Linked DNA regions of Arabidopsis thaliana. The protein of the gene in region 1 purifies or fractionates together with the protein of each later gene. This does not show direct contact. Each region holds a gene or a part of one and is shown in the gene's direction. Other genes may lie near its edges.

The links.
Region 2: the proteins of AT1G62410 (region 1) and LSP1 fractionate together in Arabidopsis thaliana (co-fractionation; one large-scale study listed by BioGRID). This does not show direct contact.

The regions. Positions count from the first base shown.
Region 1 is NC_003070.9:23,090,805-23,094,458, forward strand, and holds AT1G62410 (MIF4G domain-containing protein), read left to right. Parts: upstream 1-2,110; coding exon 2,111-2,494; intron 2,495-2,599; coding exon 2,600-2,815; intron 2,816-2,993; coding exon 2,994-3,065; downstream 3,066-3,654. Other genes in the region: HT1 (Protein kinase superfamily protein), read left to right, coding at 1-370, 456-725.
Region 2 is NC_003076.8:13,823,595-13,828,103, reverse strand, and holds LSP1 (Eukaryotic initiation factor 4E protein), read left to right. Parts: upstream 1-1,700; 5' UTR 1,701-1,772; coding exon 1,773-1,963; intron 1,964-2,123; coding exon 2,124-2,298; intron 2,299-2,396; coding exon 2,397-2,528; coding exon of another isoform or gene 2,529-2,534; exon of another isoform or gene 2,535-2,970; coding exon 2,971-3,036; intron 3,037-3,125; coding exon 3,126-3,158; 3' UTR 3,159-3,263; exon of another isoform or gene 3,264-3,483; intron 3,484-3,510; 3' UTR 3,511-3,680; downstream 3,681-4,509. UniProt on the Arabidopsis thaliana protein: Recognizes and binds the 7-methylguanosine-containing mRNA cap during an early step in the initiation of protein synthesis and facilitates ribosome binding by inducing the unwinding of the mRNAs secondary structures.

The DNA.
Region 1 (3,654 bases):
GAAAGAGCCTTACTCGCTTTCGATCGAGACCGTACTAAGGCTGGCTCTAGACATCTCAAGAGGAATGGAGTATCTTCACTCGCAAGGTGTTATCCACAGAGACCTAAAGTCCAACAATTTGCTTTTGAACGACGAGATGAGAGTTAAAGTTGCAGACTTTGGGACATCTTGTCTTGAGACGCAATGCAGAGAGGCCAAGGGTAACATGGGAACTTATAGATGGATGGCTCCAGAGATGATCAAGGAGAAGCCTTATACCAGAAAAGTCGATGTTTATAGCTTTGGCATCGTTCTATGGGAACTCACCACCGCGTTGCTTCCGTTCCAAGGCATGACTCCTGTGCAAGCCGCATTCGCAGTCGCTGAAAAGGTCAGTCTCCATTCATCTTATTTACCAGATTGTTGTTTTTCTTGGGATACAAGTTATTGATTTTTTTGGTTTCTTTGATGAGCAGAACGAAAGACCACCATTGCCGGCGAGCTGTCAACCAGCGCTAGCTCATCTAATCAAGAGGTGTTGGTCAGAGAATCCGTCGAAGCGGCCAGACTTCTCAAACATAGTGGCGGTGCTAGAGAAGTACGACGAGTGTGTCAAAGAAGGACTGCCTTTGACGTCACACGCAAGCCTAACGAAGACAAAGAAAGCTATTCTTGATCACCTTAAAGGCTGTGTCACATCCATTAGCTCACCATTTTCTTCCTCCTCTGTTCCTGTAAATGCCTAGTAGTAGATAAAAGTTATTTGAAGTACCTGTAACCTGGTCTCATTCCAAAGTTTACAATTCTTCTTTTTCTTTCACTAGTTATTTGATTGTATATTTGCATCTACGTGATGTTATGATTTGATATACACGAACTTAGGCTAACTAATTTGTATGATATATAATGATACTTATTGATCACTGGTCTCTCGTTTAAAAGGGAATGAGCTCAAAAAGAATACGTAAGTGTCTAATTATCTAAATGTGTCGAAAGTGGATAACTTGAACTCACAAGAAGTGACTTCTTAGTTATATTGACTCATTGTTTTTAACTTTTTTTTTCTCAAGGAATTAAAATCATAGGCTATTACAATGTAAAGGCAGACTTTTTCAGTTTATAATGATATTAACATTCATAACTAGAAAAAAAAATGATTTACATTGGAAAACGGAGACCATCTACATTTATAATAATATCATTATTTCTTTTCCAAATGTAATTCCATTTTAACTAATCTTAAATAAAAATTAAACAATAAATTTCGGTCGCCGACGTTTCAGTTTTCTAGGCTCGATTTTTTCTGAACATTGACGCATGGGGAAATATTCCCCATTATCAATTTTGGACACGTTTCCACCATGCTGTGGCCATTCCTTTCTTATATATTGTAGATTCTTCTAAGTCTTTGCACCCAAAACGTGTCATAATTCATAACTACAGATGACAGAAAAATCCATTGAAGAGGCTAGGTTGGCTTGTATTCGATCTACAGTATTGTTGCAAGATTGGATAACATTCAAAGCATTGGCTTTGGAAGGAATAAGCTGGTAATTTAATTCCTCTATCCGCTATTTTGTACAGAATATATATAGATATATACACTTCTGATCTCTCATATTGGCATCATTATGTTATTTAACTTCCAAACATCAAATCTTTAGATTTATCTTTGTGTTTTATACTTTTCTTGGGCAGTATAACGAACCAGATAGCCGAAGAGAAATATGGTCGTCTCATGACCCAACTTATCAGCTCTTGCAATACATCTGATATCTTAAAAGGTGCATGCTCTTACCATATAGTAATATATATAGATTAACTTTTATATAATTATCTGCCAGAATTAGTTCTATATATCATATTTGTTAAAATTACATTCGTTTATACTACATATATTAAAGCTCTACGTAAATTATTTTCTGTCGGGGTTTTAGCTATGGGGAAAAAAGTCTGAGCTAATTAACCATGTATTAAGTTTTTTTTTCTTGGTTTTTAGTTATTTTTTTTATATGAATAACACTCTGATTTGAACTGAAAAAAACCCAACGAACTTAAGAAGGTTTGGTTATGGCTTATGGGTTGCATCTTCTCTTTGCGTAATGAGTTATCTATCTTCAGTTTCGTGAATATGGCTAATTTGTGCCCTTTTCTTTCACTACAGCGTTTGACAACCCTTATTTTCGACAAAGCAGTCCTTGAGCCGACCTTTTGCCCTATGTACGCTCAATTGTGCTTTGATATCCGCCACAAAATGCCTAGGTTTCCACCTTCAGCGCCTAAGACTGATGAGATCTCATTCAAGAGGGTTTTGCTGAACACATGTCAAAAGGTGTTTGAGAGAACTGACGACTTAAGTGAGGAGATTAGAAAGATGAACGCGCCAGATCAGGAGGCCGAACGGGAAGACGAAGTAAGACTGTTGAACCTCCGGACTCTAGGAAATCTTCGTTTTTGTGGTGAGCTTTTTTTGAAGCGGATGTTGACAGAAAAGGTTGTTTTAGCCATTGGTCAGGTTAGGAAGATGACTGTTTAACTTTCTCTAGTTCCGGTCTGATGGGACTACATGCCTAACACTTGTGTTAGTGTGTTATAATTTAAATTTACTTTTACCATACAGAAGCTTTTGGAGGATGCTGAGCAAATGTGTCCATCAGAGGAAAAAATTATAGCTATTTGTCTCTTTCTCAACACTGTTGGCAAAAAGCTTGATTCATTGAACTCAAAACTGATGAACGAGATTTTAAGACGTTTAAAGAATCTGTCAAATCATCCTCAATTGGTTATGAGCTTAAGATTAATGGTTGGGAAGATCATCCATTTGCACTCCATTGGGGTCCCAGCGCGAAAGAGTTGTTCTAATACCCTTGAAAACATCATAAGCTTTCTGAGTTACGAGATTAAGACTTTGTTTTGTTGCTACTTACAATTTTTTTTTTTAATTCAATGTTAAATTATATTCAAAAAAAAATAAACGTTTATATATGTGAATGCAAAGTTTTCTTAGCATACAGATAAAGTCCGATCCTATAAACATGTGGGAGGACTCCAAGTGTGGTTATATCCTCGGTATTATCTCGATGTGAACCACACTTGGAGTCCTCCCACATGTTTTTCTACCTTCCCTTTCCTTAGAGTACTCAATCGGTTTCTCACATTTTTATCAATCAACTTGACAATTTTTCCGTTGTTGAGGGTCGCTCTCCGTGTCTTTATCATTTCTCTCCCTCCATATAGAATGTATCGCATTCTAAAACACAAACATAAGGATGAATCTCTTAGTGTTTCATGATCTTTGCTTTTTAGTTCCTTCATCACTTCTAGCCTTAATGATAGCCTTAAAGGCAAAAATTTTGTTTGAATCCATGGATGTCATCATATGAGAATGATAGAATTAATAAGATTTCTGGAAGATTCAATGCTAAGTTAAAAAACGAAAACCAAGCATCACTCACCAGTCACGAAGATGATGATTCGAGCACATAAATCTCGTTTTTTCTCGACAACTATGTTTACTCTCTTCTAAGCTCGTTGAAACAAAACTAGATGCTCGTCAACCGATGTCAGTGGGCCTTAAAGAACTAGACCCAAATTAAGAATTGAACCAGAACTTAACATGAGGTAACATGAAACAAAGACTAAACCGAGAACCAATACACTTTGGTTTCGGCTTTC
Region 2 (4,509 bases), on another chromosome or scaffold:
TCCACCCTTTTTTGTTGTCAACCATGCTAAACAAACTGATTTGAATTGAGTCTCAAAAAAAAAAATAGAAGGTTTATCACTAAAAGTAACATAGTTTTATTATTATAGAGAAATACACTAAAATAGCATTAAGCTAAGTTTTTGTTCCAAAAAACCATAAATAGTTTTTTTTTCTTTCCAAAATGCCTCTACAAACGATTTAGTACAAAAATACCACAAAGTCTAAAAATGATTTCTAAAGATTTTAAACCTTCAAAACTAAATCCTAAACCCTAAAATTTAAACACAAAATATTAAATGCAGACCCAAAGTTTAAATTATAGGTGAATTTTAGTTTTGTGGGATTTTCAAAAAAAGTATCTTTTACTGGTACTGTTACGAAAAAAACTGATGGTGTTACTTTTGGAACAAAAAACTTATCTTAGTGGTATTTTTGAGAATTGTCTATTATTATATCTTATTATATAAAGTATGGTTTTCGATTTTAGATTTTGACACATGTAATCTTATTATCAATTTTATTAAATGAGTAAAAATATAAATATAAAAACCAAAGTAAAATATTAATATATCTTATATAAAACAATTTTAAAAAATTGAAAGAAGATAAATATTAGAAAATTATATGTATCTTATCAAACAAAGATAGAAAATATAAGATTACATATTATTTTAAAGAAATAAAAATGTAAAGAAGATAATTATATGTATCTTACTGAAAGAAATTATAAATCAATTACTAATTCTAATTTGAAATTACTAATTCTAAAAGAAAATTGATTACCGTCTTCCTAAAAATTTTAAAAAGGATTTAAGGAAACGATCTTATTATATTAAATATAATACATAAAGGAATTTTACAATTAATTATAATCTTAGAAGGAAAAAGATTTCAAATACTCACCTCTATATAATTAGTAGCCGGATTTTATGCGGTAACTGATACAGAATGTACAGTTTTTGCCACTTCTTCTCGTCTTAAGAGAGAACGACGGCGATCAAACAAACGTCGCCGAAGTTTAGGCGGCGAGTGAGAGTATATGAGTTTATCAAGCAGAGATTTGTAAGTTTTCTTGTTTTTGGGGGAAAAAGATTAGGAATTATAATAACTTTATTTTTTTAATTTATATTTGGAACTATAATATAAAAATCTTATTTACATTTTTAAAACTATTTTGTTTCTTTAATTTATCTTATTTTATATTAAAAATTTTAAAATTTATAATAAAATTACATGTACCAAAATCTAAGATCTACAAAAATAACACATGTAACAGTCATATGAATTACTAAATTTAAAAATCATGCTTTATATAATAAAATATCTTTTATTACTCTAGAACCTCTAATGTAAACAATATTTTCTAATTTGATACTACTAATTAAGATTTTGCATTGACAATATGAAAGAAATTCCGCTATTTGGAAATTAGATCTCATACCTTGGTGTATTTTTTTTTATTTTTTTTTTAACAACACCTTGTTGTAAAAAAAAATACTTTAAACCCTTGTCTATTGGGATTCCACTTGCAATTAATTTTGGAGATTTTTATTTTTACTTGTTTTTTAAATACCAAAAGACAATAGAAAAAGAAAAAAGAAGAAAAGAAGAGTTAAATGCTCTGATGGACCGGCCCAAAATTGACCCAATAGAGTCCAGAAATAGCCCTTTTCACTTCTTAAACCATTCCAAAATACATCTCAAAAACAATCTCTCTGTCCCTCTCTCGTAACCAAAAGCCGTCTCAGAAGAAAACTCAACTGCGAAGAATATGGCGACCGATGATGTGAACGAGCCTCTCCCGGCGGCGGCGGAATTACCGGCGACAGAGGCGGAGAAACAACCACACAAGCTCGAAAGAAAGTGGAGTTTCTGGTTCGATAACCAATCAAAGAAAGGCGCCGCCTGGGGAGCTTCTCTTCGTAAAGCCTATACTTTCGACACCGTCGAAGATTTTTGGGGGTTCGTCTTTCTCTCTTCTCCTTTGATTTCAATATTTGTCAATGCCTTGCTTTGTAACTTCTAAATCTGGGATTTGTATAGAAGCTATGGTTATTGTGAATCTCGATCTATGTGTATGGATCCGAAAATCTAAGGATGTTAATTTTTTGGTTATTGTTAGATTGCACGAGACTATATTTCAGACTAGCAAATTGACAGCGAATGCTGAAATTCACTTGTTCAAAGCTGGTGTTGAGCCAAAGTGGGAAGATCCAGAGTGTGCTAATGGAGGAAAGTGGACTTGGGTTGTTACTGCTAATAGGAAGGAAGCTTTAGACAAAGGCTGGCTTGAAACTGTATTACATTCTAACCCTAACCCTAACCTTTTACTCTTCTGTGTTTTGTTAGATGATATGTGGTTTTGGTGACTGGTTCTATTTCTTATGATATGTAGTTGATGGCTTTGATTGGAGAGCAATTTGATGAAGCAGATGAGATTTGTGGTGTGGTTGCTAGTGTCCGTCCACAGTCGAAGCAAGACAAGCTCTCCTTGTGGACTAGGACGAAGTCTAATGAAGCTGTTCTGGTATGATGTTTGTTTGTCTTCTCACTATGTTTATATTGATGCTGGTGTTGGCTATTCATGATTATGATTGTTGGTGGGATATCCAAATTTAGTTTGGTAAACTTTAGAAAATACTAACACTCGTTACGAGAATTCTTAATGCTACACAGAGAACTATATAGCTAGTGGGTTTTGATGCTTAACTTGCTTTGTTGCCTGTCCTTGAGAGTTTTACCAGCTTCTGATGATTGAGATACTTCTGCAATAGTAAAATTGTTGTTTTTAATGTTAAGGTTATATGTTGCGACTTATAAACATAATAGTAAATATAATAGTTCATTGGCATTATAAACATAACTATCTTTGTCAATGGACATCTGTTTTAAAACTTGGCAATATGTTAAGATTGGTTTATGAATCTATCTGATGAATTTATTACTTGGTGTTTGTTATTGTAATTCAGATGGGTATTGGGAAGAAGTGGAAGGAGATACTTGATGTCACCGACAAGATAACTTTCAATAACCATGTAATTACACTTCTCTAAAGAAGAAGCTATCATCTTTTTGTACATGTTTTAGATCTCATGTGGCTTAATATATCTTTGTCTATACGCAGGATGATTCCAGAAGAAGCCGGTTCACTGTCTGAAGAAACGAGTGTGAAGCCAGAGGAAGATGCAATATGGCTTTTTTTGTGATACTGTTTGGTCGGTTTACTCAAATAGCTGAGACATTTAGGGACATTCACTTTGAGGTGTAAACTCTACAAAGTTTTCTGTTTCATTAAAATGATTTTTTGTTATAAATTAAGTTGAGTTATATAAATCTCTTTCGAAACCACCACTTGTTAGACAAATACAGAGATAATATACTCTTATTAGCAACACCCTAATGCTTCTCTTTTGTATTTTGTTGGATCACATAGTGTTAGTACATGTCTATCGCATTTGTAATTATCACTATATGAATTTACAATCTTACAAGATCTTATTTCTTTGTAGGTAAATTTCAAGAATCTGGTAAAAAATTGATTTAGAGCAGGATTCCACGATTTTCCTTTGTATTAATTGTTTTTGTACTGTGATTTTGAACCTTTTTAATTAATACTGTTGCAGTTAAGCAGTAGTTTAGTCTTTTATTAGTTTTATCCTCTTTTTATATAGCCGTGAGATTATGATTTCTTCTTCAGGAAGAGTCTATACCATTTTGAGTTTATCTTAAAGTTGCTTGAACAAGGAGATATGGTCGATTACAAATTGTGGATCTTCCATCTCCGATTCACAGTTTTTGGGTCCTCTAAAATGGTTCAAAAAACCTTATAACAATTCGTTTTGATTATTTAAATATTCACTTACAAGTTGCTTAAATCTATTTTAGGTTTAGGATGGACTCATATTGAAATTATAAATACAAACAATGTGTCAATTGGCTACTGAACTTTTAAAGCTTAGAGATTTTGGATTAAGGAAAAAAATTTGATTAAGATTTTTAGTATATGTTTATAAATTAATACTCGATACTAAATACATTTCTTCAATTCCAAATCGGCTACCCGAACTGATTAATATATTGTATATTTTTTTAATTAATAAACTATCATAGTCTCATTGTTATTAATTATAAAAAGATATAGCCAAATCAGGAAAGAAACCAACATGTTTAGGATTGAACAAACACGAGTCTGAAATTGGGTTTACAGTTCATTTTGTTGTTAACAAAACTATGAGATTGCAATTTACATCAATGAAAAGTTCTTAAACAAGTTTTGGAAAAACAAATTTCAGATTCATATGGTTTAATTAATCATTTTTTTCTCCAAACTGGATATTAGTGTTTTGTCTTATGTTGGAGTCGTACGGTTCTATTATTGCATTGGTAGATATGTAGTCGTTGTTTAATCTGGTAATTTTAATCAACTTCTCCAAGTCTTCAGTTATGTTCGGAAGCAAGGTCCATCCTCAAAAGAAGGCAAATATTAAAAGGATATTAGGTATCCACCA